6 linked regions of the Sus scrofa genome follow. The protein of the gene in region 2 interacts with the protein of the main gene of each other region in a pairwise test. Links are inferred from orthologs where the notes say so. Each region holds a gene or a part of one and is shown on either strand. Other genes may lie near its edges.

Region 1 (4,098 bases), on a different chromosome or scaffold from region 2:
ATCAAGGCATTGGCCAGGCTGGTTCCCTCTGAGTGTTGTTCCAGGCTCTCTCCCAGCTTCTACTGGTTGCTGGCCATCCTTGACATTCCTTGTCTCCTTGACACATCCCTCCAATTTCTGCCTCCATCTTCACATAGCATTCTCCTCTGTGTCTGAGTCCAAATGTCCCCTTCTTACAGGGACACCAGTCACAGTGGCTTAGGGGCCCACCCTGCTCCAGTATGAACTCATCTTAACTAATTACATCTGCAATCACCCTCTTTCCAAATTAGGTCATAATCAGTGGGCCCAGTGGTTAGGATTTCAACAGAAGAACTTGGGGGCAAGGACATAGCTCACTCCATAACATCCCCTTTCTCCTGGTCCCTCATGACCCTTTCTGTAGGAATGAAAAAGCCCAGGCAATAACATTAAAGTGGGAAGCCACCAGCTTTCAGAGACACCGAGTGATTTGAGGGGTACAGATGGGTCACTCAAGGGTCACTGTTCAGAGGGTGCACCCGAGGGACAGGGGTCTCCAGGTGTGCGGGGAGGCCGCTGGCGCAGGCAGGCTGTGCCCGGCTCCAGGCTGAGTTCTCCCCATGTAGATTGGGCCGGAGCCGAGGTGACCTGAGTTCCCCAAGAAGGTACAGGTCACCCGTGTGTGTACGTGTGGGAAGGGGTTGGGGGGAAGTTGGCCAGAGTCAAACTGGGAGAAAAGAAGTTAAAAAAGCCCGCAAGCCCCGCCCCCAGCGGGAAGACCCAGGTCGGAGGTCAGATGCTGCCCTCGTCCAGCATCCTGGTGAGACCCTCGCAGATCCTGCGCAGGTGGGAGCGGTAGGGCTCGGCGGGGCCGTAAAGCGCGGCCAGGAAGTCGCAATCCGCAAAGTGGCCGAACACATGGTTGATGCGGCCGTGGGACTTGGCGGTCAGGTGCGCGCCCGCGGCCTGGTGCAGCAGGTCCCGGCACTCGAGCAGTGAGGCGGCCAGCACGCGCCGGTCGAAGGTGAAGTCCACCTGGTGAAAGCTGACAGCGGTCATGGCCAAGCGGCGCGCCTGCTGGCGGAAGCTCTGCAGCCGCGCCAGCTCCTCAGCGCCCAGCTGCCCACCGCGGAGCAGGACGCCCAGCTTCACGGCCACCTTGACCAGGTTCTTGACCACCTTCTGGGCCTCCTTGCGGCTGCGAGTGAACTCCTTGGTGGCGCGGTACAGCTCGTCCAGCACCTCGCTGCTCGTGTCATCGATGAATGCGGCTGCCACCGTCCTTGACGCCATCTTGCTCAGCAGCTTCTTCTGGGCCTGCAGGGCCAGGCTCTTGGTGCTGAAGGTGTCCATCCGCCCTGCCGGGGAGAGACAGACAAGCCGGCCGTCAGGTGCGCACGGCCCGGCCTCCAGGGCCTAACCTGGGCGTGCCACTAACGTTGGTGACCACCGTCTTCCCAATCCGGGAAATGGGCGCCCGCCAATAGCCTATCTCCAGGGGAGTCTATGGACTCCTGAGTGCTCATTCCACAGACCTACTCTGCGTGTCAGGACTGGGTGTGTGTGGCAGACCAGTGAGCCCCCCAGGAACACGTAGCAAGTGTTATTGTCCGGAAAGCGGCAAGAGCCCATGGTGCAGGCACCCCAGCAGATCGAGGTGGACCGGGCAGGCCTCCTGGAGAAAGGGACAGGTAAGAAAATGGGGACGGCTTCCGCGGGGGGGAGGGGGGGGAGATCTGCGTGCTCCAAGGCCTAGAGGAGGGAAATTCCGTGTAGCTGGAGCACAGAAGGCAAAAACCTACATAGGAAAAGTTTGGAAACAAATAGCATTGAGGAGTTCCCTGCTGGCTCAGCAGGTTTAAGATCTGGTCTTGTCACTGCTATGGCTCCTGTCGGTGTCTGGTGCGGGTTCCATTCCTGACCCAGGACCTTCTATGTGCTGTGGGTGCGGCCAAGGAAAAAAACATACCATTCACACCAAAGATATGATGACCCAAGGGACTCTAAGCGACCTAAGGGAATTTGTTTCTTAAAAAAAAAAAAGGTCAGGTGGGAGTTCCCGTCGTGGCGCAGTGGTTAACAAATCCAACTAGGAACCATGAGGGTTCGATCCCTGGCCTTGCTCAGCGGGTTAAGGATCCGGCATTGCCGTGGGCTGTGCTGTAGGTTAAAGACGCGGCTCGGATCCCCGTGTTGCTGTGGCTCTGGCGTAGGCTGGTGGCTACAGCTCCAATTCGACCCCTAGCCTGGGAACCTCCATATGCCGCGAGAGCGGCCCAAGAAATGGCAAAAAGACCCCCCCCCCCCCAAAAAAAAAAAAAAAAAGGTCAGGTGTTCCCTTCGTGGCTCAGCAGAAATGAATCTGACTAGTATCCATGAGGACACAGGTTCGATCACTGGTCCCACTCAGTGGGTTAAGGATCTGGCGTTGCCATGAGCTGCAGTGTAGGTCGAAGATGCAACTCGGATCTGGATCTGGTGTTGCTGTGGGTTGTGGCATAGGCCGTAGGCCGGTGGCTACAGTTCCAATTCGACCCCTAGGCTGGGAACCTCCATATTCCACGGGTGCGGCCCTAAAAAGACAAAACAAAAACAAAAAAAATGGTCAAAGGAGTTAATGTGTAATGGTGAAATCTGGGTAGGGGGTTCTATTACGGTTTATTACTGTATATCGTATGTTCCCTGTGCTATACAGTAGGACCTTGTTGTTTATCCATCCTATAAATACTAGTTTGCATCCTCTAATCTCAAACTCTCAGTCCATCCCTCCCCTCTTCCCCCCTTTGGCAACCAAAAGTCTATTCTCTGTGTCTGTGGGTCTGATCCCATTTTGTAGATAAGTTCTTCATTTGCATCATATTTTAGATTCCACATATACATGGCATCGTATAGCATTTATTGTTCTCTTCGCTTAGGATGAGAATTTCCAAGTCCATTCATGTTGCTGCAAATGGCATTATTTCATTCTTTTTTATGACTGAGCAATATTCCATTGTATATATGTGCCACATCTTCTTTATCAATTTATCTGTCAGTGGACACTTAGGTTATTTCCAGGTCTTGGCTATTGTAAATAGTGCTGCTATGAATATAGGTGTGCATATATCTTTTCAAATTATAGTTTTTTTTTTGTGATATATGCCCAGGAGTGGGATTGCTGGATCCTGTGACAGCTCTATTTTTAGTTTTTGAGGAACCTCTACACTGTTCTCCACAGTAGCTACACCAGTATACATTCCCACTCACAGTGTAGAAGGGTTCCCTTTCTCTACACCCTCTCCAGCATTTCTTTTCTTTCTTTCTTTTTTTTTTTTTTTTTTGTCTTTTTAGAGCCGCAATCACAGCATATGAATGTTCCCAGGCTAGGTGTCGAATTGGAGCTGTAGCTGCTGGCCTGTGCCATAGCCACAGCAATGTGGGATCCAAGCCATGTCTGCAACCTACACCACAGCTCATGGCAAAGCTGAATCCTTAACCCACTGAATGAGGCCAGGGATTGAACTCGTATCCTCATAGACACTAGTTGGGTTCGTTAACTGCTGAGCCATGACAGGGAACTCTCTCTCCAGCATTTATGTGTAGATTTTATGATGGCCATTTTGACTGGTGCGAGGTGATACCCCCTTGTAGTTTTAATTTATATTTCTTTTTTTTTTTTTTTTTTTTGTCTTTTTGCTATTTCTTTGGGCCGCTCCCGCGGCATATGGAGGTTCCCAGGCCAGGGGTCTAATCGGAGCTGTGGCCACTGGCCTACGCCAGAGCCACAGCAACGCCAGATCCGAGCCGCGTCTGTAATCTACACCACAGCTCACATCAACGCTGGATCCTTAACCCACTGAGCTAGGGCAGGGATTGAACCTGCAACCTCATGGTTCCTAGTCGGATTCGTTAACCACTGCGCCACGACGGGAACTCCTTAATTTATATTTCTGTAATAATTAGGTCATCTTTTCATGTGCCTGTTGACCATCTGTATATCTTCTTGGGAGAAATGTTTGTTTAGATCTTCTGCCCATTTTTTGATTGGGTTGGTTTTTTGTTACTGAGTTGCATGAGCTGTTTGTATATTTTGGAGATTAATGAGCAGAGCCTGATGAATCTCACTACTTGTGGGCCCTGGCACCAGCCCTCAAACCC
Region 2 (5,279 bases):
AAAACATCCGGAAAGTCTAAAGAACAAGATTAAAATATGCTCTACAGACTTAACGCACCAAGCATTATTGAAGAGGAAAAAATGATATGAACTGGGGTTTTGCGAAAAATCTGTGATGTGTAGCCACCTCCAACCTCTCCCTTGGTAGTTCACATTAAGTCCAACCCTCCCTGTTAAATGGAAAATTACGGAGTTCCAGTCCTGGCACAGTGGAAACAATCCAACTAGGACCCATGAGGTTGTGAGTTCAATCCCTGGCCTTGCTCAGTGGGTTAAAGGATCTGGCGTTGCCATGAGCTGTGGTGTAGGTCGAAGATGCGGCTCAGACCTGGCATTGCTGTGACTGTGGTGTAGGCCAGCAGCAACAGCTCTGATCAGACCCCTAGCCCGGGAACCTCCATATGCCGTGAGTGCAGCCCTATAAAGACAAAAAAAGAGGAAAGGAAAATTAGGTTTAGAGTACTAGACAATGTCTGGAGAGCTTAGGAATGCTAATGCTAGGAAATAAAATCAGATCCTGCTTGCTGGACAGGAGAGCACCAGATCCATCCTGCTTCTCAGGGCTGCAAGCCAGGAAGGGTTGGGGTAGGGGACAGTGAAGGTGGCTCTTACCTTGGAAGGCCTCTTCACATTCATCCAACCTTCGCTTCTTGTAAGTGGGCTAAGGATACAAAGAGACAAGAATCAGCCTATTCGACACTCACATCCCCACTGCAAGTTACCCTTCTAGCAAGTTTAATCCCTACCTTGACTTCACAGGTTGTCTTATTAATTTACCCACAATTCACTAAGCACACACAAAGCTTTAAGAAAAGGTTCTTCCCACAAAGCAACTTACACTATAGTTGGAAAGACCAACTTTTCAAGAAATATAACACATTAGGCAACCAGGGGAGGGGTGGATACTATGAACAACAGAAAGAATGAACTACTGAATGCAGAGTGAGTATAACTAAGGGGATTATAAACAAATGTGCTTGTTCCACAAAGAATATTCAATCAACAAACATGTATTTAGCACTTGCAAGGAACAATGCTAGGTGCTGGGGATACAAAGATAATTCAGATAGTTTCTCCTTTCCAAAAGTGCAAGTTCTACCCATGAGACACCGACGGATAAATAACAATATATATAGCAGATAAATAACAATATGGGGTCATCATTGTTATAACAGAATGTGGACATATTCTAAAGACTAGTTGCTAAAGATACAGAAAGACGGGGAACTGCAGTTATATAGCAAGAACAATTGCCCCCTCCCATAACAAGACTCAAGACACTGAAACAGGGATGAAAAGTCTTGCCTAGAGCCATGGTGACAGACCAGGTAACCTGAGGGACCTTGTCACTATTAGCCCTATTTTCAACTCACTCTAACAGAGTACCCATTAACACATGCTACAAATGAAAACCGGGGACCGAAGGGGGTGTACCAAAGTCATATGTCTGTAAGAATCCTCATTCCGGGAGTTCCCGTCGTGGCGCAGTGGTTAACGAATCCGACTAGGAACCATGAGGTTGCGGGTTCGATCCCTGCCCTTGCTCAGTGGGTTAACGATCCGGCGTTGCCATGAGCTGTGGTGTAGGCTGCAGACGCGGCTTGGATCTCGCGTTGCTGTGGCTCTGGTGTAGGCCGGTGGCTACAGCTCTGATTCAACCCCTAGCCTGGGAACCTCCATATGCCGCGGGAGCGGCCCAAAGCAATAGCAAAAAGCCAAAAAAAAAAAAAAAAGAATCCTCATTCCCAGATCCAAATCCCACTGTCCCCTGTACCCCTGTACACGTTCAAGCTGACCAGAGACTTGAGGACAGAGCGCCTACTGCTTCGGCACACACACAGAGATAAATACAGGATACTTACACCGTCCAGTCCATCATGGCTATTGGTGAGAAGAATGGGGTCAGGGACTGGGAGATTCATGTCTGAGTGGATCTGAGTTAGGTCATGGATGTTTAGGATTGGCTCCTGAAAAGAGACGCCCACCCCCAAAACATCAGTCTTTTCAAAATGAACAAAGAAGTATTTCATTTCAAGGGCAACATATGAAGACGGCTTTACAGCACAAAACAAGATAGAATCAACACGTCATTTGTCCCATTTGACAGAAAGACCAGGGCCAAAAAAACTGGGGACTCTGAGGAAAAGAAAAGGGTCTCTCACCTTCAAAAAACTATCAAGTTCTAACAATTTCTTTGGGAAAAAATTTGCCACCAAGTCTTCTGCCTAAAGATGAGGGAAAATATAGCTGAATTAGTAACTGAGGGAAGGTCTGTCTCTACAGACATCTCTTCTCTGGAGAACTCCCAACCATTAACCAATGCTCGATTTTCTACTTCTTTCACTCACCTCACTTGTAATCCGCTCCCTGAAAGAATCAACCTAAAATTAACAAAGAAAGCAATTCAGTAAGAGCAAGTCAGTACCTGGCAAGAGAAGTATGGGCAGGATGGGGAAACCCAAATCCAACTGTCTTTCCCTCACCTTGTAATTGTAATGAGAAGCTGAGAGGCCCCCAGACTGCAAATACTTTATTTTTTTAAGGATCCATTTCTCCATCTCAGGAGAGGGAAGCGGGGCTGGAGGGCAGCACCCACCTGTCTTCCCTCCCTCCCTCCCTTTGTCTGTAGCTTGTCTGAATTTGAAAGCAGACAAAAGACAGGTAGATGGGAGAGGCGTGAGCTCACAAACATGTCAACCCCCATACAAACCTGGCCTAGGATGTGAGGCAGGCCTGACGCCAAGGGCAGGGGCAGTAGCAGCGCCCAGAGATGGGGACGTTGCTGGGCTGGGGGGACTTCCAGCTGTCACTGGCCTAAAGCACTAAGTCCACCACGTGTCCGCGGAAGTCTCCCCGGGGCTCTCCACCATTAGACAGGGTACAGAAGGCCACCCCATAGTAGCGTCTCCCCCGATGCCATCTCTGGGAGTGGGGGGCTGGGCTGAGCCGAGCGGAAGCTCAGGGCTGGTGTCCCCAGGGAGACAAAGACGCCATGGGGAGTAGGGAGCCAGTCAGACAGCTCGAGGATCGAAGCAAGGAGTAAGGAAGCCCGGACCGTACCCCTACCTTGAGCTTTACTTCCTGATCCACCTTCAGCAACGAGGCCATGGCCGGGCCGGGCCGTGTCCGCTCCGCTGGAGACCGGAGGCGCTGTGGGCTCCGGGGAGAGGGTCAGAGGGACGGGAGGAATCTCGGCTGCTCTCGGGACGCGGCCGCTCTCGCTGGCCCACTCACTGCTCACTTGCTCCCTCCCTTCGTGCCGTCCGTCCGCCCGCCTGCTGCCTGCTGCCTGCTCTCTCTCGCTCGCCCTCCCGGCTTTCGCCGCTCACACCGGAAGTTACGTCACAGCCAATCGCCGGGACTCCGAGAGGATGTGCACGTGCCCTGCGCAGCCGCGCTGAGGTTCGGCTCTGAACGATGGTAGCTCTGCTCCTATCTCTCGGCTCCTGTGCCCGATAAGGGTGAAGTAAAAGGGAGGGCAGCAGAGGGTGGTGGAGTGAGATCGGAGTCTCAGAGAGACTCGAGGACCGTTTGCCTCTCTGTTATTCCGGCACTCACCTTCACCGAAGGGACCGTCGGAGGCGCTGCTGCCTGGAGTGGGGGACCCGACAGAAGACGCCGTCGCGCCCCGGTGACGTCGGCCCGAGGAAGCCGGTGGTACCCGCGCTGGGTTCGGGGCGTCTAGTCTCTGATTCCTGCTGTCTCCTCCTCTTGGTCCAAGCTCTCATGTTAGGTTGGAGCCTGATAGGAAACAAGTCCTGTTGTACCAGGCTTCCCCGCCTTTCTCTGCCATTTAGCCGCTTACTCCTAGACCTCAGAGATCAAGTGCCAGATGTATGGACAAATTGATGCCTGTAGTCTGGCGGTGCTTGTCCTAGGCTACACAGTGTTTACAGTATATCCAAGTCCAGAACTCACATCTCCTAACTTCTAGGGCAATGCTGTATCCATTTTCCTCGTGGAAGGCGGAGACTGTATTCCCCCCTACCCGACTTTTTGTCGCCCAGCCCCGCCCCCCACCCACCGGAGGCAGGTGGAAGTTCCTGGGCCTGGGATTGAACCCTGGAGACCGCAGGGAATGGAGCCTCTGTAGTAACAAGGCCAGATACTTAACCAGTTGCACACAGTGGGAACTCCCCAGGCTGTCTGTCTTAATTCACCCATTCATCTGTCTTATAGCATTGGTTATTTCGCACAACAAATCGGAGTAGGCTCTGGGACAGCAGTGTCTCAGAGGCTAGAAATATAATGTGAGTCACTTATGTAAGTTAAATCTTGTGAACTGGAGTTTCGCATTTACGGTTACTTGCCATCTGCCTCTACGTGGATTAAACCATGAGCCATGGCAGCTGCTGACCTGCAGAACCCACTAAGCAGAGCTCAGGGTGGAAACCAGGAGTGAGGCACTCTGTGCTATGGGAAAACTGGAAGAATAGGTCTTTCGGATAGTTAGATCTTTCTTATTTTTTATTTTCTCGGGCTGCACGTGAAACTTGGAAGTTCCTAGGCTAGGGGTTGAATCAGAGCTGCAGGTGCTGGCCTATGCCACAGCCACAGCAATGCCAGATCCGAGCTGCATCTGCAACCTACACCATAGTTTACAGCAAAGCCCAATCCTTAACCCCTTGAGCAAGGCCAGGGATTAAATCTGCATCTTTATGAATACTAGTCAGGTTCTTTTTTTTTTTTTTTTTTTTTTTTTGCTATTTCTTGGGCCGCTCCCGCGGCATATGGAGATTCCCAGGCTAGAGGTCCAATCGGAGCTGTAGCCACCGGCCTACACCAGAGCCACAGCAACACGGGATCCGAGCCGAGTCTGCAACCTACACCACAGCTCACAGCAACGCCGGATCGTTAACCCACTGAGCAAGGGCAGGGATCGAACCCGCAACCTCATGGTTCCTAGTTGGATTCGTTAACCACTGCGCCACGACAGGAACTCCCTAGTCAGGTTCTTAAGCCAAGAGTCACACCAGGAACTCCAGTTAGATATTTTTAGGAGAAGATTTTATGTGCCCAATTCTTGCATTTCCTAGTATCTAGGAAAACTAAAATCCTTCATGGTGATGTCTGCTCCTCGCGACTAGTAGTAATCTTCACGAGACCAGAAGCAAACTTTTGTGAAATGTGTGCGTGGCTGCACACACGTCCCCCTTCCCTTTATCACATATATCCTGATATTTCCCCTTTCCTCTTTGCGGTATTTCAGAGCTACAGCAGTTGGGCTGTAGTTAAGTCAACAAAACAAGGGATGTCACAGTCATCTGCAAATGCAGCCA
Region 3 (5,037 bases), on a different chromosome or scaffold from region 2:
AGGCCAGCATCTGCAGCTCCAATTTGATCCCTAGCCTGGGAACTTCCATATGCTGAGAGTAAGGCCCTAAAAAGACCCAAAAAATAAATAAATAAATAATGGTTAACCTCCACCATGCACCAAATACTGTGCTAGGTATTATCTTATTTAATTCTGAAACTCTGAAATGTAGATATTATTACCATTTTTACATACAACAAAACTGAGGCTAAGAGGTTAGAGAATGTTCCCAAAGTTACAATATGTATCTAAGTGGTGGAGGCCAGAATTCAAACCAGGTTTTTCCAAAGCCTCAGCAAATGAATAATCATCATTACCCAAGTACCTAAAGATAGAATACTACTTTCTCCCAGGTAACACTGATTTGAGTGTTTGTTATAAATTAGGTCCACCCTGAAAGGGATTAAGAGGTACAAACCTCCAGTGATATAATAAATTATAAGGTTATCATATACAGCATAAGGAACATGGTCAATGATATTGTAACAACTTTGTATGGAGACAGATGGCTACTAAACTTATCATGGTGATCATTACATAATGCATGCAAATGCCAAATCATCATGTAGTACACCTGAAACGAAGATAATATTGAATGTCAACTATGCTTCAACAATAATGTCATGTTAAAATATATTTAACCATCCTTACAAATTATCATTTGTATCTTCAGAGCCTTACTTGTTAAAAAGATTATAACGATATTTACATTTAGTGAATGAATGAAAGCTGGAACCATTATGTAAAATTGCTACTGAAAAAACTGTATTTTTCACATATCTATCAATTTAGGGGCATTTCATAATTTTAATAAAAAACGATACACTGGTTGAATTTATTGCTTCATTATAGATAAATGAGCTCAGCAACTTAAAGTGAATTGTCTAAAGCTACAAAGTAAATAGAAAAGTTGAAATTAATATATGTATTTGTGTTCTACTTCATTATGAAGCTTAAACATGAATATATTTTTAAACAATAGAAACAAGTTATTTTTCAATCTTCGTGAGGAAAAATATATCTTTATATGTAATGCTGACAATTAAAATAAAAATAAACTTTTGTTTGCAATTAGAAATGTACACTTTTTTAAAAATAAAAAACTAATTAGGTTCACCTGCCCTGTATGAAAGTCAGATCTACCATCCCTCACTCTGAGTCCATAAGAGTCAGGATCATATGGTAAAATGAACCTAATCTCAAGGACAATGACTGGTTTTATTTTAATAAATCTAGAAAGGTTCTGTCTATTTCAAAAAGAAGACTAAAACTAAGGGTTGAAAACCTTTCTAATGTCTGCCACAGGACTAGAAGTGTGTTCAAACATCTAGGTTTAGTGTGGTTATTGTTGTTGTTTTGTTTATTTTCATTCTTGTAATTGGATCATCCAATTCTCTAATTCTGAAGATACAATTCCACCATTTGGGAAATTTTTGTAAATAAAAGGCTTGAAGCACCTATAAAGTGTTTTTCAAAGGCTGTTTGTTATTTATTTATTTGGGGGCTCACCCTTAAAAAGAGACCTTATACCCAAGTTATATGAAAAAATATTCTCAAGCAAATTTGTATAATCTAAAACCTTGTAGTTAAAAAAAAAAAAAAAAACTAATACTAAGACTAATGCATACCTGAGAAAGAAGAGGAAAGGAGAGGGAAGATATTATGTGAGAGAAAGGCATGGAGAAACCAGATAAGAACTATATCATACTTTTGGAAAATGGGACTGAAGCAGAGAAACTGCACAGCTGTCTCACTGTGGTAAGCCTTGGACCACAAATTATGATAAAGAATAAACAAGGTACACAAAGATCTGTCTGCACATATCTCCTCTGTTTACTCTATCAATTGGATATTAATTCTGCTTAATAAAACCCCTCTTAAAAATGTAAATATAGCCTTAGAGAGTTAAACCTATTGGTTCTTCAAACCTTTACTGTGAGTTAGTAATAATTAGATTGTGTATAACTTAAGTAAACTTGGAAAACGTGAGTTTTAATTGAGTGTTCTAATTGAAACATGAAACACTTCAGAAAAAAACAGCACAACAACAACAAAGATCTCTGAACAGTCTAAAGACAGAATGAGAAAGGTGGAGGGATGAGACTAAGGAAGGGCAGGGCTAGGAAGAGGAAGTGAAAAAATACCTACTTTACAATTTTGCCACAGAAAAATAAGAGGTTTATGGTTCGATGATCTCAAAGTTTCCTTCCCACTCTGTAATTCTATGAGGACTATTATGTAAAGAATGAATGTTTTACATACCAAATCATAATATACTATCTTTTCCTTTCTGGAATCTAAACCATCCAACTATTAAAGTAAAAGAGCTCCAATTTCTACCTCAACAACATGAAAGAGAAGTATATCAAAACTACTTCCCCAGGACAAACAAAAGGAGAAATCATAAGCAGTAAATGTCTTTCTAGTATATTAATAACACACCCTTCAAAACTTTGATAGTATTTGAAAACTGATTGAATGAAATTGGGGGTCCAAAAGAGACACAGATTATTAGAATGATCCAGAATCTCTCTCCAGGAACACACTAAATAACACCCTCATCAGTCAGAGACATCAAAAATGAAGACAGGAAAGAACATTTCCCCACCAACCTCAAGGCATTCACCTCCTCCTGCATAATAATAGTTCGGCCCTTGCCCTCTCCATTTGTCACCTTATTACAGTTGTCGCTAGAATAACACGGGTCTGAACTGCGCAGGTCCAGTTATACGTGGGTTTTTTTTCAATAAATAGTTTATATTTTCATCTTCAGATCTTTAACGTAGTGTGGGGAAATGCTTGTGTCTGATTAGAGATCACAACACAGGTAATTAAAAGAACTAGGTTAAGAGTCCTGATTCTACCCAAAAGGTTTCAGCTTCTTAGGTGAGTCCGGTATCAATTCCTTCGTTTTTGAGGCAGAGATAGGAATACGTGGATATTGCACTGCTTGGGGTCGACGCCCCTATTCCCTGCTTTGTTCAAGGGTCTACTGAATTTTCCTTTCCACCTCTGCATGATCCGCCAGTTACGTCTCTCTCCATCCATAGTCACCCCGCAGCCTTTCTCCACAAGTGGCCCTTCCTACCTGTTGGTCTCACTTAAATCTCTCTGCCCAGAATTACCCACACCTGCTCCACCCAGGTGCTTGCACCGACCCTTCCGGACTCGGGGTATGGCAGTGGACTGCGCTGGGCACCCCATTCTCCCGCAGAGTCAGCAGTCTGTGCGAACACGACTTGGAGAGGGTTGTTCTTTCGCACCCCCATACCCAGAGCTTCCCCCTTTCCCCCGGGGTCGTCCTCACTCACAGCGCACAGTGTGGAAGGCGCAGCGCGGCTGCTTCTCAAAACTCTCGCCTAACTTGAGAACCCGCTCGCGGCTGTCAATACGCGAGGGTCTCCCTGCTCCATTCATTATTCTCCTCGGTCTCTGAACTGCCTCCGCCAGCAGCGCTCACCACCAGCTGCCAACTCAGCCTGAAACATCTGCACTTGCAGCCGCCTACGCAGCCAAAAAAGACTCCGCCCCGCGCCCGGGGAGCGTGGCCCCCACAGGATGCCTCTCGCGTGTTGATTGGCTGCCGCCTTAGGAGTGCCCGCCCCTTGGCCCCGAGGCTCCGGGTCCCGCAGCCGAGCCCCTCCCCCTTCTCACGTTGGGACGCACGCAGCCCCGGGAGGCTATGGTTCTGAGGTACACGGCAGGAGCTGTGTGCTGCTGAGGAGGAACGCGAAACGGAGCGAGGTAGCCTACGTGAGGCGGCGGCTAGGGAAGGAGAATGTCCAGGGTGCCGGGAGGCCTGGACTCCAAGCTTATGGGCCAAGTGACCCGACTTGCAGGAGCTCTAAAAGGAGAATCGGCCTGCTCCACGCCTTTCTGTGGAGATCTGGTGTGGAAACTGAGGCGGGGGAGGGGCGGAACCTGGACTCCAGGCGCGGCGTCGTGCCCGAGGCCTGGTAGCGCCGAAGCTGGATCTAGAATCCTGAGTAAAGGAACCAGTGCCCACCGAGCCGTGGTCCTTGGATCTGACTGGAGGCGACGCCGTTACCTCAGCAAGAGTTTTCTGACCTTATGTTCCAGAGCAGGGTCCCAATGGTCAGGTCCCAGAGGGGAGTAGGAGTTGGGGGTTGGAGGGAGTGGAAAAAGAGTTCAGAGTTAGGAACTACAGATATTTAGGATCCCCTGCGGCTGGTTTGCATTTGGTTGCCTTCGTTTATTTTCTTCACAGTGATGCGTGCAGGCAGTAACGACACGGCCCCCACGAAAGACAAGATTCCCAAAAGATCAGGGCCAGAGCTTTTGCTCTGGCTACAGGGTGATAACATTAATAATTGAAAAATAATTTGTCTTTTTTTTTTTTTTTAATCTGTCAAAAGTTCGTGAGTTTAAGGGTAGAGATGAGAGAAGTGCTGTATGAGAAGAGAAACACTCAAGAGAAAGTTTACAAATGGTTGCCATAACACTGGTGGTTTTTCAGGGTAATTGTATAATCAGACTACTCTTTAGTTAACTTATTCCTTTGCCAAATTTATTATTCCAGGCAAGTAGATAAATGTGTCCCCCTCAACCTATCTGCTTGTGTAAATTATACTCTTTTAAGCATACTAAAGCTGTTTCCTGTGGTAGTTAAGCACCTGAGTTCTGGAGCCAGAATCTTTTATGAGTTTGAACCTCAGCTTCATGCTCTACATTGTGACCTTGTGCAAACCAAAGTAAGTATGTTTGTCATTAAAATTAGGGGAAGAGGTAGTACTTACACCTTAGAGTTGTTGAGAGGATTAAATTAGTTAATGCCTGAAAGCATTTTAAACAATTCATGGCATCCAGTAAACGTTCTCCAAATGGTTATTGTTTTTGAGACTTTACTGTCATGCAACGCTTTAGGACCATTCTTGGTGGCTGCCTTCTCTTCCAAATTTTGAATTACTCTAGGAGGTAGGAATTATTATTTTGTTTACTTTATAGAAAATGGCATAAGCCCAGTCCTTTGACTCTCTTTATTCTTATCAGCTGTGTCATCCGTCTGGCATTTAATGT
Region 4 (5,074 bases), on a different chromosome or scaffold from region 2:
CTTTTCCTTTTTTAAACACTGGGAGGAAAGCTTCCTTTCTTCTCCAAATAATGAAATGAAAATTATCTTAAAAGGCAAATAAGCCATTATTTTAAATGAAGCCAGACCCAAGATACTCATGAGTATTACAATGACATATTGGGAATGGAGATCAACTATTTAAGGAGGCCTCACGGGTGAAAAATATGACAGCCAACATGAAGCTGCTGAAAGGCAAGCTATGAATCCCAGCAGGCAACTACTCTTCCAGGATCTCTGTTCCCTATGGAAGCCGAGAATCACTTGAACTTGGGACCAATGAGATGAAGTAAAATGCACAACAGTGTAATCCTGACCCCTCATCTCCCTAAGCCAAGGTTTCCAGCCTTTTGGGAAAAGGCTGGTAAAAATACTAGTAAGCTCTAAGCCTTGGGAAGGTGGCAATACATACCGAGGTTGCAGGAGACACTGCAGAGGTGGCCACTGGTCCCACCGGGCACTTGAGTAGCTGAGACTGCCCCGTGCAGCTCAAGCTCTTCTTTAATAGTCGTCCTTTCCTCCTTTCAGTTTCCTTTTAGAAAAAGACTTCTCTCTTCCTTCCTTGTTTATCCCACCCTTCACTACTCACACATAGGAGTTTCTTATAAATCCCCCAGTTTCTCAGAAACGCTTAAGCCTCTTGACCCAACCTTTTTGATGGGACTGTCCAATCAGAGGTGGGTACAGGAAAGAGTGCGGGTGGAGACCAGTGAAACCCTCTTGGGAATCAAGATATTAGCTGGTCATTGCATCAGCCACCCTCTATTCCAAGCTGGCCTCCTAAAAATCTCCCTGCCCCCTTTCTGTTCCTCCTTCTTAGCATCAGTATGAACAACTGTAATGAAAACTGTGTTTTATGTGTAGTCCTGGGGGGCAGAAAGGTGGGCTGTAAATTCCTTGCTGCTGTCGTTCACGGGGGCGGCGCAATGCAGTGGAAAGATCATGAGTTCTGGGGTCAGATCTGAGTTTCGATCCCAGTTTGGGCACCTTCTTGTTTCAAGACTTTGAGCAAGTCACATTACCTCTCCGCTTCATCCTCCGCTTCCTCATTTGTGAAATGGGCATAAAGAAGCCTCCTAACTTTACCGTGGAGGGGACTAAGTGCGATACTGCAGGCAAAGCCCCTGTCACATGGCAGACACTTGGTAAAAGTCGGGGCCTCCCTCCTTAGGGAAAGGGCAGAGGTGGGAGACGAGGAAGGGTCGGCGCCCGCGGGAGTGGGCGACAGGCCGGGTCGGCGGCGCTGGGAGGAAGGGGGCGAGGGGCGCCCGGGCAGCCTCCGCGCCCCCCGTGCTGCCAGAACCCGGCGGGCAGCGAGGCGGGCTCTGAGGAGGATACTCCCGGCCCCGGCGTGCCGGCGGCTCCGGAAGGCCCAGGTCATCGGGCGCCACCCTGGCTTCCCTCCCTCTTTCATCCCTTCACTTACCGGCCCAGCCGGGCCCGTCAGCACTGCCGGCTCAGCCACGGGTTGCTGCTTGGGCGTCCGTGGAAACGCCGTCCGGCCGGAACAACTTCCGGATCGACTGCGTCATCATTGGCTGTGGCGGCCAGAGGCCGCCGCTGATTGGTTGGGGCCCCGGCGTCCGCGGAACGCGACTGGGCGGCGGAGTGCAGGCCGGACAGCCTCCGGGAGGACCGAGCGCTTCCGGTGTGTGTGGTGAGCGGCGGGCCGGGCCGGGGGACGGGAGGGGACGGGACCTGGCTGGGGCCCGAGTGCTCCACACTCTTCCGCGCGAGCCTTCGCCGCTGTTCGCCTGTTCTACATCTCCGGTTCTGCGTCGCGCAGTGCTCTGGACGATGCTCACCTCCTACTCTTGGCAACCTGGCTAACTCCTATTCATTCTTCAAAACCCACCTCTGGTCGTATCTTGTTTGTTGCCCTCATCAGTCTGTGGCCTCCGGCGCAGGAGGTGTGTTTTGTGTTTAATGTCTGTCCATAAAACCTAATATAAAGCTTGGCACAGTGTAGGTAATCAGGAAATGTTGAATGAGAATATCTTATCCCTGTTGCTTTCTCTGTGCCCTCCTCCCACCAGGTTGCATTTCACAAATATCTGTAGATGCTGGGGATCAAACAGTGAACAACACACAAAAAAGTCCTGCCTGGGTGGAGCTGACATGCAGGTGACTGTCATTGCCGCTCCCCTCTCCTGTAGCCTCATTTCTGCTAAGACCTGACTTTTTCTTCCAGCTGTTCTTAGCTATTTTTATTTTTAATTTTTTTGTTCTTCTTAGTTTAATCACTCCCTCTTTCTATGAAAAAATGTCCTTTCCCCACTTTTGCCTGTTTAGGCAGCAGTTTCCCTCTAAAGTTTGTTGTTGTTGTTCCCAGTGGCTCCCGATCACCTCCGTTTTTGCCTGTTTTCCTTGACTCATTCTTGCCTCCATCACTCTTACCCAATTTGATTAGTTTTGTTGTTTCGGTCTTCTCATCACCTCTACTTCCTCACCTCCTCCAGAGCGTTGCCTTCTGCCCTAGGCCTGCCTTGATCTCATCATAGGAAACAGCCCAAGCCCACCATCATGCCGACTTTTCTGTTTTACTTTCCTCCTTGGGATTTCTCATCACTGGACATCCTTTGTTTCACCTGGTCATGGTCTGTCTTCCCCCGCCGTGCGTGAGCATGATGAGCTCAGGGCATTGTTCACTTTCTTGTTGGCTGAGGTGTTCCTGGCGCCTGGTATGGGGCTCGGGAAGTAGCCCATGCTCCTTCAATGTTTACTGAATGACTGAATGAAATGTACATGAAGCAGATGCTGCTATGGTTCATCTACCTGCATTCATTCAGTTCTTGCTGCCTTGCCTTGTGGGGATCTTCTCACTCCGCTGCTCTCTGATCTTTTGCTGTAGGTCTCATTTCTAATTCTGGCCATCGACCTCTCCTGTGAGTCGACATCTGTGGACAACTGGGTAGGTAGGAATCCATTCTAATGGCTGAGGACAGGTGCCTTGGTGCTGGTAACCTAGTGGGTTCTCTTTGGAGGGATGGAACGGGATGCTGTGGTGGGTGATGCTGTGCCCAGGAGTTGAGACAGGTGAGATGTTTGATCAGGATGGGCTTCAGGAACAGAGCAAGTATTTAGAGAAAAGAAATGCCAAATCCTTTGCAGTGCAGTGTTCTATTAATTTATAATTTGTCCATTATATTTGTTCCATTTGAGATGGGCTGGCTTGTGATGGAAGTTTTTTGCTTTTGTTTTTTTGTGTTTTTTTGCTTGTTAGGGCCACACCCATGGCATATGGAAGTTCTCAGGCTAGGGGTCCAGTTGGAGCTGCAGCTGCCGGCTTGTGCCACAGCCACAGCAACGTGAGATCTGAGCCATGTCTGCAACCTACACCACAGCTTACGGCAATGCCGGATCCTTAACCCACTGAGTGAGGCCAGGGATTGACCCTGCGTCCTCATGGATACCAGTCGGGTTTGTTATCGCTGGGCCATAACGGGAACTCCTGTGATGGACGTTTTATTTAGACAATGGCTCTGTGTGTAGAAGGTGTTACCTGCCTGGATTGGACTGTAGGTGGGGGTGGGATTTTTGGAGGAGGCAGACCACTGGCATTTTTTGGATGTTGGTGTAACTTATTTGGCAATGGAGCCCTTCAGGCAAATGCTACTACCCTTTTTGGGAAAGGCAGGGGAGGGGTGAGATGGTCGCTTCCAGGGAAAACCACTGTCCGGGGGAGATGGGGGTGATAGATAGGCTGTCGGAATGGCGTAATTGAGGACCCACAGGGAGTCTTCAGGGATGGAAGAGGAGCTCAGGGTGGCGTATTAAGGTAGGGCACGTAGGCTTCCTCTGAAGTGATATGCTGCCTGGGCTCTCAGTGCTGCTCCACCGCGCCCTCTGCTGTCCAGGACATGTCCCGTATCCTTGTTTTCCTTGAGTGTCCTTGCTTCGTGCTAACCACATAGAATTGAATTCCAGAAGGGGGTACGTCTTTGGGGAAACTAGCTGGCTACAATTTATCATGTATAATGATTCAGAATTCCGGGCATGGTTTTTAATGTTTACTTAACATTTTAAAAAAATATAATTTAATTATTATTATTATTATTATTTTTTGCTTTTTAGGGCTGCACCTGTGGCGTGTGGAAGTTCTCAGGCTAGGGGTTGAATCAGAGCTGTAGCTTCCAGCCTTTACCACAGCCACAGCAATGAGGGATCCGAGCCGCGTCTGTGACCTACACCACAGCTCATGGCAACGCCGGATCCTTAGCCCACTGGGTGAGGCCAGGGATCGGACTTGAAACCTCATGGATGCTAGTTGGGTTCTTAACCTGCTGAGCCACGACGGGAACTCCAGGAAGAGTCTTTTAGGAAGGGGAAATTCACTGTCGTGTGAATCTGTGTGTTTGTCGCACAACTGCTGGATTTGGGCCACACCCTCGAAATTGGGTGGACTGATGCCTCAGGCACCTGGGCCTTGTGTCCTGGGTCTGTCTCTCCCACTGGCTTGTAGTCAGGATGGGCTGTCTGGGGAAGAGCATTCTAGGCAGATTGAACAGAAGGAAGGACTAGAGCAGAAGGGAGAGGGTGAAGGCGAGGGTGGCATGCTTTTGCCATGTGGTGAGGCCTGGTCATCTTTTCATTTCAGTATTTTCAGACCTGACCTCATTCATGCTGGTGAATGTATGCTCTTCTCATGTGTTGCTCAAAAACTGCTGCAGGCTCTCTGTACCCCCAGCTTTGCCCAAAATGTGCTAGTATTTGTGTTGGACAGAGTTCTAAAGTGGGATTGTTGCAGTAAAAACTGTGTGTGTTCAGGAGTTCCTATTGTGGCTCAGTGGGTTAAGGACTTGACATTGTCTCTGTGAGGATGCAGGTTCCTTCCCTGGCTTCCCTTAGTGGGTTAAGGATCCGGCGTTGCTGCAAGCTGGGGTGTAGGCCTCAGTGCAGCTCCAATTCAACCCCATCCTGGAAACTTCCATATGCTGCAGGTATGGCCATAAAAAGAAACAAAAGCAACCCCCAAACTATATGTGTTTGAATTTGGTGTAGATGTTGTCCAAATTAGCATTCCAAAAGGCCTCCCATTTTTTTTTTTTTTTTTTTT
Region 5 (5,136 bases), on a different chromosome or scaffold from region 2:
TTTCCCATCGTGGAGGGATCCAGGATCCGGCGTTGCCGTGAGCTGTGGTGTAGGTTGCAGAGGCAGCTCAGATCCCACGTTGCTGAGGCTCTGGCATAGGCTGGTGGCTCCAGCTCCGATTCGACCCCTAGCCTGGGAATCTCCACATGCCGAGGGAGCAGCCCCAGAAAAGACAAAACAAACAAACCAAACCAAAAAAACTGTCACCCAAAACTTTTTTTTTTTTTTGTCTTTTCTAGGGCGGCACCCGCGGCATATGGAGGTTCCCAGGCCAGTGGTCTAATCGGAGCTGCAGCTGCCAGCCTACACCACCAGATCCAAGCTGCATGTGACCTACACCACAGCTCATGGCAAAGCAGGATCCTCAACCTACTGAGCGAGGCCAGGGATGGAACCCGCAACGTAATGGTTCCTAGTCGGATTCGTTAACCACTGTGCCACGATGGGAACTCCATCCAAAACATTTTTTAATCTCTCCATTCAATCTCACCTTTCCTTCTCCTCAGACTTCTACCAAAGATCCAGAACCAGGACTAGCACCCAAAGCCATACATAAGGCAAAAAAATTTGCTAAGCAGGAGTTCCTGTAGTGGCGCAGTGGTTAACGAATCCGACTAGGAACCATGAGGTTGAGGGTTCGGTCCCTGCCCTTGCTCAGTGGGTTAATGATCCGGCGTTGCCGTGAGCTATGGTGTAAGTTGCAGACTTGGCTCAGATCCCGCGTTGTTGTGGCTCTGGCGTAGGCCAGTGGCTACAGCTCCGATTCAACCCCTAGCCTGGGAACCTCCAAATGCCGCGGAAGCGGCCCAAGAAGTAGCAACAACAACAAAAAAGACAAAAAGACAAAAAAAAAAAAAAAAAAAAAAAAAATTTGCTAAGCAGAAAAATGTAAATTAAGGCCTCCTTAAGATCAAGGTTGCCCTAAAAATTAAAAAAAAAAAAAAAGAAGAAGAAGGGGGAAAAAAGGGAGTTCCTGTTGTGACTCAGCAGTAACAAACCCAACTAGAATCCATGAGGATTCGGGCTCAATCCCTGGCCTCACTCAGTGGGTTAGGGATCCAGCGTTGCTGTGAGCTGCGCTGTAGGCTGCAGACACCACTTGCACCTAGCATGGCTGTGGCTGTGGTGCCTGATTCAACCCCTAGCCTGGGAACTTCCATATGCCTCAGGTGTGGCCCTAAAAATTTTTTTTAAATATCTCAAGGTTGGTTCAATTCTTCCAGAGTTGGTTCTGAGAGCTACTTTTACTACTTGGTCCTGAGAGCTACTTGCTAATTTACACTCCTCTGGCATGAAGATACTTAGCCTGAGACTGAGCACGAAATTGAGGGTTTTATTGGAGCCTGAGTCACTGACTGCTCTTGTCCTCAGTTTCCCTGCTGGACAAGAAGACCTACGTAATTAATACAACAAGCTGAGAACAGTGAAGGAGAGAAAGAAATTCCAGGAACTAGGACCAGATTATTATCTATCATTACATAAGACTTTGCTTGGCCAAAGGTCTTGACATTTGACCACCTCAGTGGGTGTGTCCCACTTGCCAGAACAAGCATGGGGGTGGGGAGGCCAAAGCTCTGGGAAAAGAAAGGCAAAAAAGAAAAGCACCTGATTCTGATAGCCATTCTAAGGCTCAACATAGCCCCTGGCAGACAGAAGGCCCAATTAGCCTAATAATTATTTTCAAGATTATTAAATTCTTCGCAGTGGGAATCCTTTACAAAAAGGAAGCACCATCTGCCAGAGTAACACAATGCCCTGTCCCAAGTCCTCAGACTGTGAATCCCCATTCCTTGTCCCTGCCACCTACCTCTCTTCCCACCTCCAGCCACCCTAGTCCTTCTGAGGGGGCACCTCTTCCTAGCCAGGCTCCAGAGGGCACTGACCTTGCCATGCTTGTGGTGTTTGTGCTTCTTTTTATGAGCTTTCTTCATTTTCTTCTTCATCTTCTTGTCCATCACCATGCCTGGTCCTACCATGCCAGGAGCCAATGGATTCACAGGTGGCATGCAAGGGGCAGGTGGTGGGTAGGGACCTGAGGGCTGGCATCCTGGATGCCCTGGCTGTGGCACAGGATAACAAGGCCCGCCAGGGGGAAAAGCTGGATTCCCCTGGGGCACTCCTGGAGGAGTGGGAAGGGGGCCTGGAGGAAAGGGAGGGTTGGCAGATGGTGGATGGGTAGGATGGCAACCTCCAGGGTATCCAACGTTAGGCGGGTAAGGATTTGGCCCTGGCTGCCCTGGTGGAAAAAGCAAAGAATAAATTTAAGATTAGAACTGCCCAGAGCTTCTGACAACAAACAACAAAAAGAAGGGGATTCCATTTTTCACTCAATACTTAAAGGAAAATGGAGGAGTTCCTGTAGTGGCTCAGTGGTTAACGAATCCCACTAGGAACCATGAGGTTGTGGGTTCGATCCCTGGCCTCGCTCAGTGGGTTAAGGAACTGCAGTGAACTGTGGTGTAGGTCGCAGACGCGGCTCGGATCCCGCGTTGCTGTGGCTGTGGCGCAGTTGCAGCTACAGCTCCGATTGGACCGCTAGCCTGGGAACCTCCATATGCCGCAGGTGTGGCCCTAGGGGGGAAAAAATGTAAAGCTGAAGAAAGAGGAGCATGGAGGGGAGGGGAGACAAACCTATACAAGAGAAAGAAAAGGTAACGTTCCCTGGAGACAGTGAACTCTGGGGGAAGACACTGGGCAGCTATGGACTTTGCTTTTTTGTAGGTTAGGGCAGAGGTGGAGGAGAAACGGACACAAACTTCCTGTTGTGGCCCATCCGAAAAGGGACTGGGGCAGGAGAAGAGATTCTCCCCAAACACTTACCGGCATTGGGATTCCACATGTTCAGGGGTTTTCACCAGCCTGAGGAGAAAGAAATGAAGGTTAAAAGCTGACGGCCCAGAAGTGGGTGGGTGATTTAGACACCAAGCCCAACTTCAACGCCTCCTGCCCCACTGTAGGCTCCCAGGGAACTAACAGGTTCGCTACATAAGAAATGTCTCCTTCCACCCGCTCCTTCGCCCCCAATACCTAGTTTCCCTCCACCTTCCACTCGCTCTGGCTGCGGATTCTAACTCCTCGGGAGAGGGGCTGAGTGCGCGAATCTCGCTATCCCCATCACTCCTCTCCCTTTCCTTGACCGAGCCCGGAAGACTTTAACCACCATAGGCTGCGGAGGGATCTGAAACAACTTCACCATCCCCAAGGATGGGTGACGGGAGACAGGACCCCGCACCCCAGGCTAACAGAAGGACCTGCCTGGAGGCGAAAGGAGGTAAGGCAGCTCAGGAAAGATCCTCAAACGCTTATATAGTTAGACACACCCTCTTACCCTTTAAAAAAGGCAAGTGGAGACCCCGGCTCCCCAGCAACGAAGGGGCGTCTCACCCAGGAATGGAGAAAGAAAGGAACAGAATACTGACGTCCCGTCAGCTTTATACCACCGCCTGGGCGGAGGCGTCCTCCGCAGCCTCCACTCTCACTTCCCGATCACCCTCTCACGTTAGGCTTTGGCATCCGCCTCTGCTGCCTCCGAATTGGTAATATAACAACATTGGGCTTTAGGATTGGAGAACATGCTCGTCAATCACTCTAGTCCCCACTAGGCTAAAAGGCAATGGTTGCAGTGGGGGCGGAGCTGGGCGCTCTGGGGTGAGGCCGGTGCAGAGGGCGAGCGGGCCGGAAATGCCTGGGGGCGGGGCTATGGGTGGGCGGGGCCAGCTTCAGAGCAAGTTCGTGAGTACCTAGAGGAAATTCAACCCTTGACCTCTGAGCTCTTAGTCCAGTGGGTGCCACACCTTATAAAGTAAATATACCATGATAAATGTTGTACAGATATATATACACAGCTTAAGGAAGGGCGGGGAGCTGCCGATATTCACCCTAAAACTCAATATTGCCGCCTCTGTCAGCGTCCATAGAAAGTAAAGAAACATTCTTGGGAGAAATACAGAGATTTCTAATCTCTCCTAGGATTCCCTGTATCAACTACATAGCTCCGCCATCTGTCGAATTGCACAAAGCAGAAACGCCGGAGGTGATCCTTGATGGCTCTCTCCTTCACCTTCCCCTCTTCCCGCTCCAGCATCGGGAAGGGTCCGTTTGTTTCACGAATAAATCTGAAATTTCTCTACTTCTCTTCAATCTTCTCTGCTTCCAGCCTACCATCATATCTCAACGGGAATGCTGCAATGGCCTCTTCTTCTTTTTTTTTTTTTTTTTTTTTGGCCTCATTCACCACATATGGAAGTTCCCAAGCCAGGAGTCAACACTTGCCATAGCAGTGACCCAAGCTGCTGCAGTGACAACCTGGGATCCTTAACCTCCTGTGCCACAAGGGAACTCCATTCTTTTTTCTGAAGGAAGTACTAAATAATATGCCACTATTTGGATATTCCACATTTAGTTTATCCATTCATTAACTGATGGACATTTGAATTGTTTTTATGTTTTGCCTATTATGAATATTGCTGCTATGAACATTCGTGTACAAGTTTGTGCATAATCATAGGTGTGACCGTGTTTTCTTTTTTTATTTCAGCATAGAAATTTATTTAAATTCGAAATTACATGGTTAGGAGTTCCTGCACGGTTCACTGGGTTAAGAACTGGACTACTGGAGTTCCCGTCGTGGCTCCGTGGTTAACGAATCTGACTAGAAACCATGAGGTTGTGGGTTCGATCCCCGGCTTTGCTCAGTGGGTTAAGGATCCAGCATTGCCATGAGCTGTGGTGTAGGTCTCAGATACAGCTCGGATCCCACGTTGCTGTGGCTCTGGCATAGGCTGGTGGCTACAGCTCCCATTCAACCCCTAGCCTGGGACCCTCCATATGCCGTGGGAGCGGCCCAGGAAATGGCAAAAAGACAAAAAAAAAAAAAAAAAAAAAAAAAAAGAACTGGACTACTACCCATGAGAATGTGGGTTTCCCTGGCCCCATGCAGTGGGTTAAGGATCTGGTGTTGACATGAGCTATGGTGTAGGTTGAAGATGGGGCTTATATCCTGCATTGCTGTGGCTGTGGTATAGGCCAGCAGCTGCAGTTCCACCCCTAGCCCAGGAACTTCCGTATGCTGCAGGTTCGGCCCTAAAAATAAAAAAAAAAATTACATGGTTATATTTGTTTGTTTTAATTTTTGGC
Region 6 (4,523 bases), on a different chromosome or scaffold from region 2:
TACGCTGCCGCATATCCCTGTGGGTTTTATTCCATCGTTGTTGTTTCTAATGTGGAATCACAGTGGATCTTCATATTCTACATTATTGCAATTTGATTTTCCTCCTGTTTAAGAATGTGTAGATTCCTAAAATGCCAGTTTGGGGGATGGAGTGGGATAGAATTCACATTTCCCATGTACTTGAGTAAAAATAATTCTTTGCCATTTTCCCCAAGCTCCCTTTTTCTCCATTTATTCCAGATGTCCTATGCGGACAACTAACCCCTCCTTTAGATGTTGTTTAACCGCCCCCCCAGCCCCTGCCCTGCCCCCCAGCAGCTATAGAGAGAAAGACCCAGGCACCTGGAGGATGTAAAGTGGCAACAGCTTAGGAGCATGGGGAGGGAGGGCGGGGTCAGCCTGGTTCCTGTATATGGCAAGGGGTGATGTGCATTCTGGTAGCTTTCGGCCAGAACCAGAGGTTCAGAACATTCAACTTATTTAGGGGCAAGAAACCCAGTTAAAAGCTGAAGGGAGAACTTTTGCAGAGAGACTCTTTCGAAGCTTTGCCCAAGGCAGCACTCTGATCACAGAGCCCAAAAGATCAGGCAAAGTACTCTTTATGAATTTGTGTCATTGCATGTCCCAACCCTATTCTGGAACATAATAAGTGCTTGGTAACCAGTGATAGAATGAAAGGGCCTGGACAGGGAGACCTGGCAAGCTTTGTGCTGAGGAAAGATTGTTGTCTGCCCGTTCAAATCCCTGTCTTATTACCTGTCGCCTTTGGTGAGTTACATCATCCCCCTTTGCACCTTAGTTTCTCAGTGTAAAATGAAGAGGTTAGATAAGTGGTCCCTAAGGTCCTTTCCAACTCCGAATTTTTACTGTATGAATAAGGAGTTAAGGAGCCAGGCAGTTTCTGATTCCATACAGGGAATTAAATGCTATATTTGGCAAATTGACTACCTACTGGGTGCTGACTTATGACTAGGCACTGAGAATACAGTCTTGAACTAAACAAGTAACATTTATTGCCCTTCTGGAGTTTAAATAAATAGAGGAAAACATTGCCTTTATTTTAGAAAATCAGGGCAAGCCTTCCTAAGGAAGTGACCTTTGAGCAGATTTAAAGGTTGAATAAATGAAAGGGAGGAAGGGGATGGGATGTTGCACGCAGAGGCTTTGTTAAATCCCTCAAGAAAGAGCTTATGGGTCTGAGAGAAGGCCAGTGCCTTCTCTTCCACGGCCTGCAGAGCCCAGGCGAGTGCAGCACGGTAAGATTTTCTTCTTTGGCCTTAGAGCCATGGGTCAGGGTTGAAGGGCATAGGCAGGTAAGTGACAGGATGTGCTTACTCTGAACCCACCAGGGTAACGAGCTGCCCTTGAAGATGCTCCATAAGTTAACTTGGTGTGTTTCATTAATCATCTCAGTGGTACTTTTGTGGTGTCTAGGGATCCACACCACCGATGACTGTATTCAAGGGGAACAAACGACCTTACCAGAAGGACTGTGTGCTTATCATCAACCATGACACTGGTGAATATGTGCTGGAGAAACTCAGCAGCAGCATTCAGGTCAAAAAGACAAGGTATGTGAATAAGCCGGTGCAGATTGGTGGGATGTTTGTGTAGCTTTACATATGATGTTTTTTCCTTATGCTCCTTAGTTATTTTATCAGGATGCGAGCATTTGGGTACCTAGTGCCCTGTGGCCATTCTCAGCAATTCCACCTTGGGCAAGTCAGTAAAATGTCTTCTCCTCAAAGGCAGTAAAAGGAAATAATGCCTTTAGGATCTGAAACACGAGGCCATTGGGGAATGGAGTATGCTTTATGATTAAATCAGTTTTGTCAATCTCATGTCTGTTGACACAATACCTTCTAAGGGATAAGATTTAAATTTACACATTTAGAATTATGAAAGAATAATTGAATAATCTTTTTTGGGATGGAAAAGTTTCATATATTCTTTATTAGAATGAAAACATTAATTTTTCACAAGATACACTTGAGATCATTATAAGACCAAAATAAAGCTTTGTCCAATATTTTGGAATAGTGAGCTCTGTTTAGCATTTAATTTAACAGGCACTACACATTTCATATAAAGCCAATTAGATTTTAAAGTCAAAATTCATCCTATAAATAGAAGTAACCCAGTGGTTCTATTGTTATATTTTTTTTCTTTGTCTTTTTTTTTTTTTTTTTTTTTGTCTCTTTGCTATTTCTTGGGCTGCTCCCACGGCATATGGAGGTTCCCAGGCTAGGGGTCTAATCGGAGCTGTAGCCACCCGCCTACGCCAGAGCCATAGCAACTCGGGATCCGAGCCACGTCTGCAACCTACACCACAGCTCACGGCAACGCCGGATCCTTAACCCACTGAGCAAGGGCAGGGACCGAACACGCAACCTCATGGTTCCTAGTTGGATTCGTTAACCACTGCGCCACGATGGGAACTCCACTATTGTTATATTTTGATAACAGCAATAATAATTAAATTTTAAGGAGTGTTACAGTCTGATGTTTTTTTCCTTATGCTTCCTCGAGCCTTTCTTCTTTACTTATTCCACAAAAAGTAAAAGCAGCTACCATTTATTGAGGGGTTATCACCTGCTGTGCATTATGCTAGGTGGTTTTTTGGTTTGTTTGTTTTGTTCTTTTGCCTTTTTAGGGCTGCAACTACGGCATATGAAAGTTCTCAGGCTAGGGGTCGAATAGGAACTGCAGGCCACAGCCTAAACACCAGATCTGAGCTTTGTCTTTGAACTACACCACAGCTTGGCAACGCCAGATCCTTAACCCACTGAGCAAGGCCAAGTCCTCATGGATACCAGTTGGGTTTGTCACCACTGAGCCACTGAGCCACAATGGGAACTCCTATGCTACGTGTTTTACGTGCATTGTTTTACATAATCTTTACAGATAACTTTTAGAAAGGTGGTATTGGGCCTTTAAAAAAAATTATAATGTATTTAATGGCATTTAATACACTCAAAATATTGTACACCATCTTTATCTAATTCCAGAACATTTTCAGCCCCCCCAGAAGAAAACCCATACCCATCAAGCAGTCAGTCCTCACTGCTTTCCCTCAAAGGGACTTTCCCTACCTTTTCCTTATTTTTTTTCCCCCAATAAATTTGATTGGAGTATAGTTGGTATACAAAGTTTTGTTAGTTTCAGGTGCACAGCAAAGTAAATCAGTTATACATACACATATATCCATTTCTTTTCAGATTCTTTTCCCATATAGGTTATTACACAGTATCGAGTAGATTACACTGTGCTATACAGTAGGTAAATGTTATCCTTCTGAAGAGACCAAGGATCAGTGCAGTTGTGAGTTACCCAAGTCAGGGCCAGAGCTCCATCCCGGGGGACAGTGCACTGTATTGGTCCATTGATCCTCCATGAATCAGGTGGGACACCTCTGAGCGCTGATGGTTGTGTTTCTGTTGCTGCTCAGTGTCAACTGGAAACTAGCAGTGTTTTATCACTTAGGTGTTTGTTCAAAGTGCAGAATTTCAGGGCCCACTGAGTCAGCCTGGACTTCAGTGAAATCCCCAGGGGATCTCTGTTCCCAGCAAAGTTTGAAAAGTGCTGAGCCGGCCCAGTAACAAATGGTTAATGAGTAGAATTTCCTTGGCTTGGGGTGGAATGCTCTGCTTGTCTGCCAGCAGGAGCTGGTACGTGACAAAATGAGCAAGCGGTAAATAGATAATAGAAAAATAGTGCAAACAGGCCGGTATTTCAAGAGCAAGTTTCCTTTAACAAGTCACTCATGTGTGACTGTAACTTTACATGGTGTGCACAAGTCACATAGTTGGATTTTCTATTAGTAAAATGGTTTCTCACAGTCACAATATATCCTGCCTGTGTGTCTCATCTGCTGTTTGTAAAACGTGAACTCCTTGGAGGCAGCGAGTCTATTTTACTCATCTCTGTATCTGGTGCAGGAGGCAGTACTGGAATGCATTCCTGTGATAAAATGACAAATACTAGTATTTGAAGCTGTCTGTATGGAGCCAGGGGTTCTGCAAAGACTCCCATGTGTTTGGTCACCTGGGCACATTTGAGAACCACTATTTTTGCCCCTCCAATTTAATGTCTGTATCTCACTTCAGAGCTGAGGGGAGCAGTAAAATCCAGGCCCGAATGGAACAACAGCCCCCTCGTCCCCCACAGCCATCACAGCCGCCGCCACCGCCTCTGCAGCCACCACCACCACCACCACCACCACCACCTATGCCGTTCAGAGCTCCAACAAAGCCGCCAGCTGGACCCAAAACATCTCCTTTGAAGGACAACCCCTCACCTGAGCCTCAGCTGGATGACATCAAAAGAGGTAGAGAGCATTTTCTAGAGCCATGAAAGCAGCTTGCAGGAGGGTGTTGATGTTTCATGGCGATTATAAGGCTGCCAGTCGTGGTGACATGGGCATTCTCTGCCATTGTCACAGTTTCCACAGAGCTCAAAATTCTGCACTTTGAGCAAAGGGGCAGGGGCTTTACCACTTACCTCCTTTAAAACAGTGACTTGAG

The links.
Region 1: the proteins of PSME3 (region 2) and TNFAIP8L1 interact in binary tests that used the Homo sapiens proteins (3 or more experiments, as listed by UniProt). The two-hybrid records come from large-scale screens. The link is inferred for Sus scrofa from reciprocal best matches to the Homo sapiens genes PSME3 and TNFAIP8L1.
Region 3: the proteins of PSME3 (region 2) and EAF2 interact in binary tests that used the Homo sapiens proteins (3 or more experiments, as listed by UniProt). The two-hybrid records come from large-scale screens. The link is inferred for Sus scrofa from reciprocal best matches to the Homo sapiens genes PSME3 and EAF2.
Region 4: the proteins of PSME3 (region 2) and WDR25 interact in binary tests that used the Homo sapiens proteins (3 or more experiments, as listed by UniProt). The two-hybrid records come from large-scale screens. The link is inferred for Sus scrofa from reciprocal best matches to the Homo sapiens genes PSME3 and WDR25.
Region 5: the proteins of PSME3 (region 2) and PRR13 interact in binary tests that used the Homo sapiens proteins (3 or more experiments, as listed by UniProt). The two-hybrid records come from large-scale screens. The link is inferred for Sus scrofa from reciprocal best matches to the Homo sapiens genes PSME3 and PRR13.
Region 6: the proteins of PSME3 (region 2) and EAF1 interact in binary tests that used the Homo sapiens proteins (3 or more experiments, as listed by UniProt). The two-hybrid records come from large-scale screens. The link is inferred for Sus scrofa from reciprocal best matches to the Homo sapiens genes PSME3 and EAF1.

The regions. Positions count from the first base shown.
Region 1 is NC_010444.4:74,205,540-74,209,637, forward strand, and holds part of TNFAIP8L1 (tumor necrosis factor alpha-induced protein 8-like protein 1), read right to left. Parts: intron 1,320-4,098; coding exon 754-1,319; 3' UTR 1-753. UniProt on the Homo sapiens protein: Acts as a negative regulator of mTOR activity.
Region 2 is NC_010454.4:20,032,238-20,037,516, forward strand, and holds the start of PSME3 (proteasome activator complex subunit 3), read right to left. Parts: upstream 3,110-5,279; 5' UTR 3,109-3,109; coding exon 3,067-3,108; intron 2,574-3,066; exon of another isoform or gene 2,559-2,573; coding exon of another isoform or gene 2,484-2,558; intron 2,382-2,483; coding exon 2,349-2,381; intron 2,226-2,348; coding exon 2,163-2,225; intron 1,968-2,162; coding exon 1,863-1,967; intron 662-1,862; coding exon 613-661; intron 1-612. UniProt on the Homo sapiens protein: Subunit of the 11S REG-gamma (also called PA28-gamma) proteasome regulator, a doughnut-shaped homoheptamer which associates with the proteasome. 11S REG-gamma activates the trypsin-like catalytic subunit of the proteasome but inhibits the chymotrypsin-like and postglutamyl-preferring (PGPH) subunits.
Region 3 is NC_010455.5:138,678,088-138,683,124, forward strand, and holds the start of EAF2 (ELL-associated factor 2), read right to left. Parts: upstream 3,521-5,037; 5' UTR 3,418-3,520; coding exon 3,312-3,417; intron 1-3,311. UniProt on the Homo sapiens protein: Acts as a transcriptional transactivator of TCEA1 elongation activity. Acts as a transcriptional transactivator of ELL and ELL2 elongation activities. Potent inducer of apoptosis in prostatic and non-prostatic cell lines.
Region 4 is NC_010449.5:121,236,609-121,241,682, forward strand, and holds the start of WDR25 (WD repeat-containing protein 25), read left to right. Parts: upstream 1-1,590; 5' UTR 1,591-1,675; exon of another isoform or gene 1,676-1,928; intron 1,929-2,054; exon of another isoform or gene 2,055-2,142; intron 2,143-2,154; exon of another isoform or gene 2,155-2,929; intron 2,930-5,074.
Region 5 is NC_010447.5:18,659,227-18,664,362, reverse strand, and holds the start of PRR13 (proline-rich protein 13), read right to left. Parts: upstream 3,550-5,136; 5' UTR 3,329-3,549; intron 3,273-3,328; exon of another isoform or gene 3,028-3,272; intron 2,860-3,027; 5' UTR 2,840-2,859; coding exon 2,821-2,839; intron 2,237-2,820; coding exon 1,808-2,236; intron 1-1,807. UniProt on the Homo sapiens protein: Negatively regulates TSP1 expression at the level of transcription. This down-regulation was shown to reduce taxane-induced apoptosis.
Region 6 is NC_010455.5:2,657,096-2,661,618, forward strand, and holds part of EAF1 (ELL-associated factor 1), read left to right. Parts: coding exon 1-19; intron 20-1,434; coding exon 1,435-1,571; intron 1,572-4,106; coding exon 4,107-4,327; intron 4,328-4,523. UniProt on the Homo sapiens protein: Acts as a transcriptional transactivator of ELL and ELL2 elongation activities.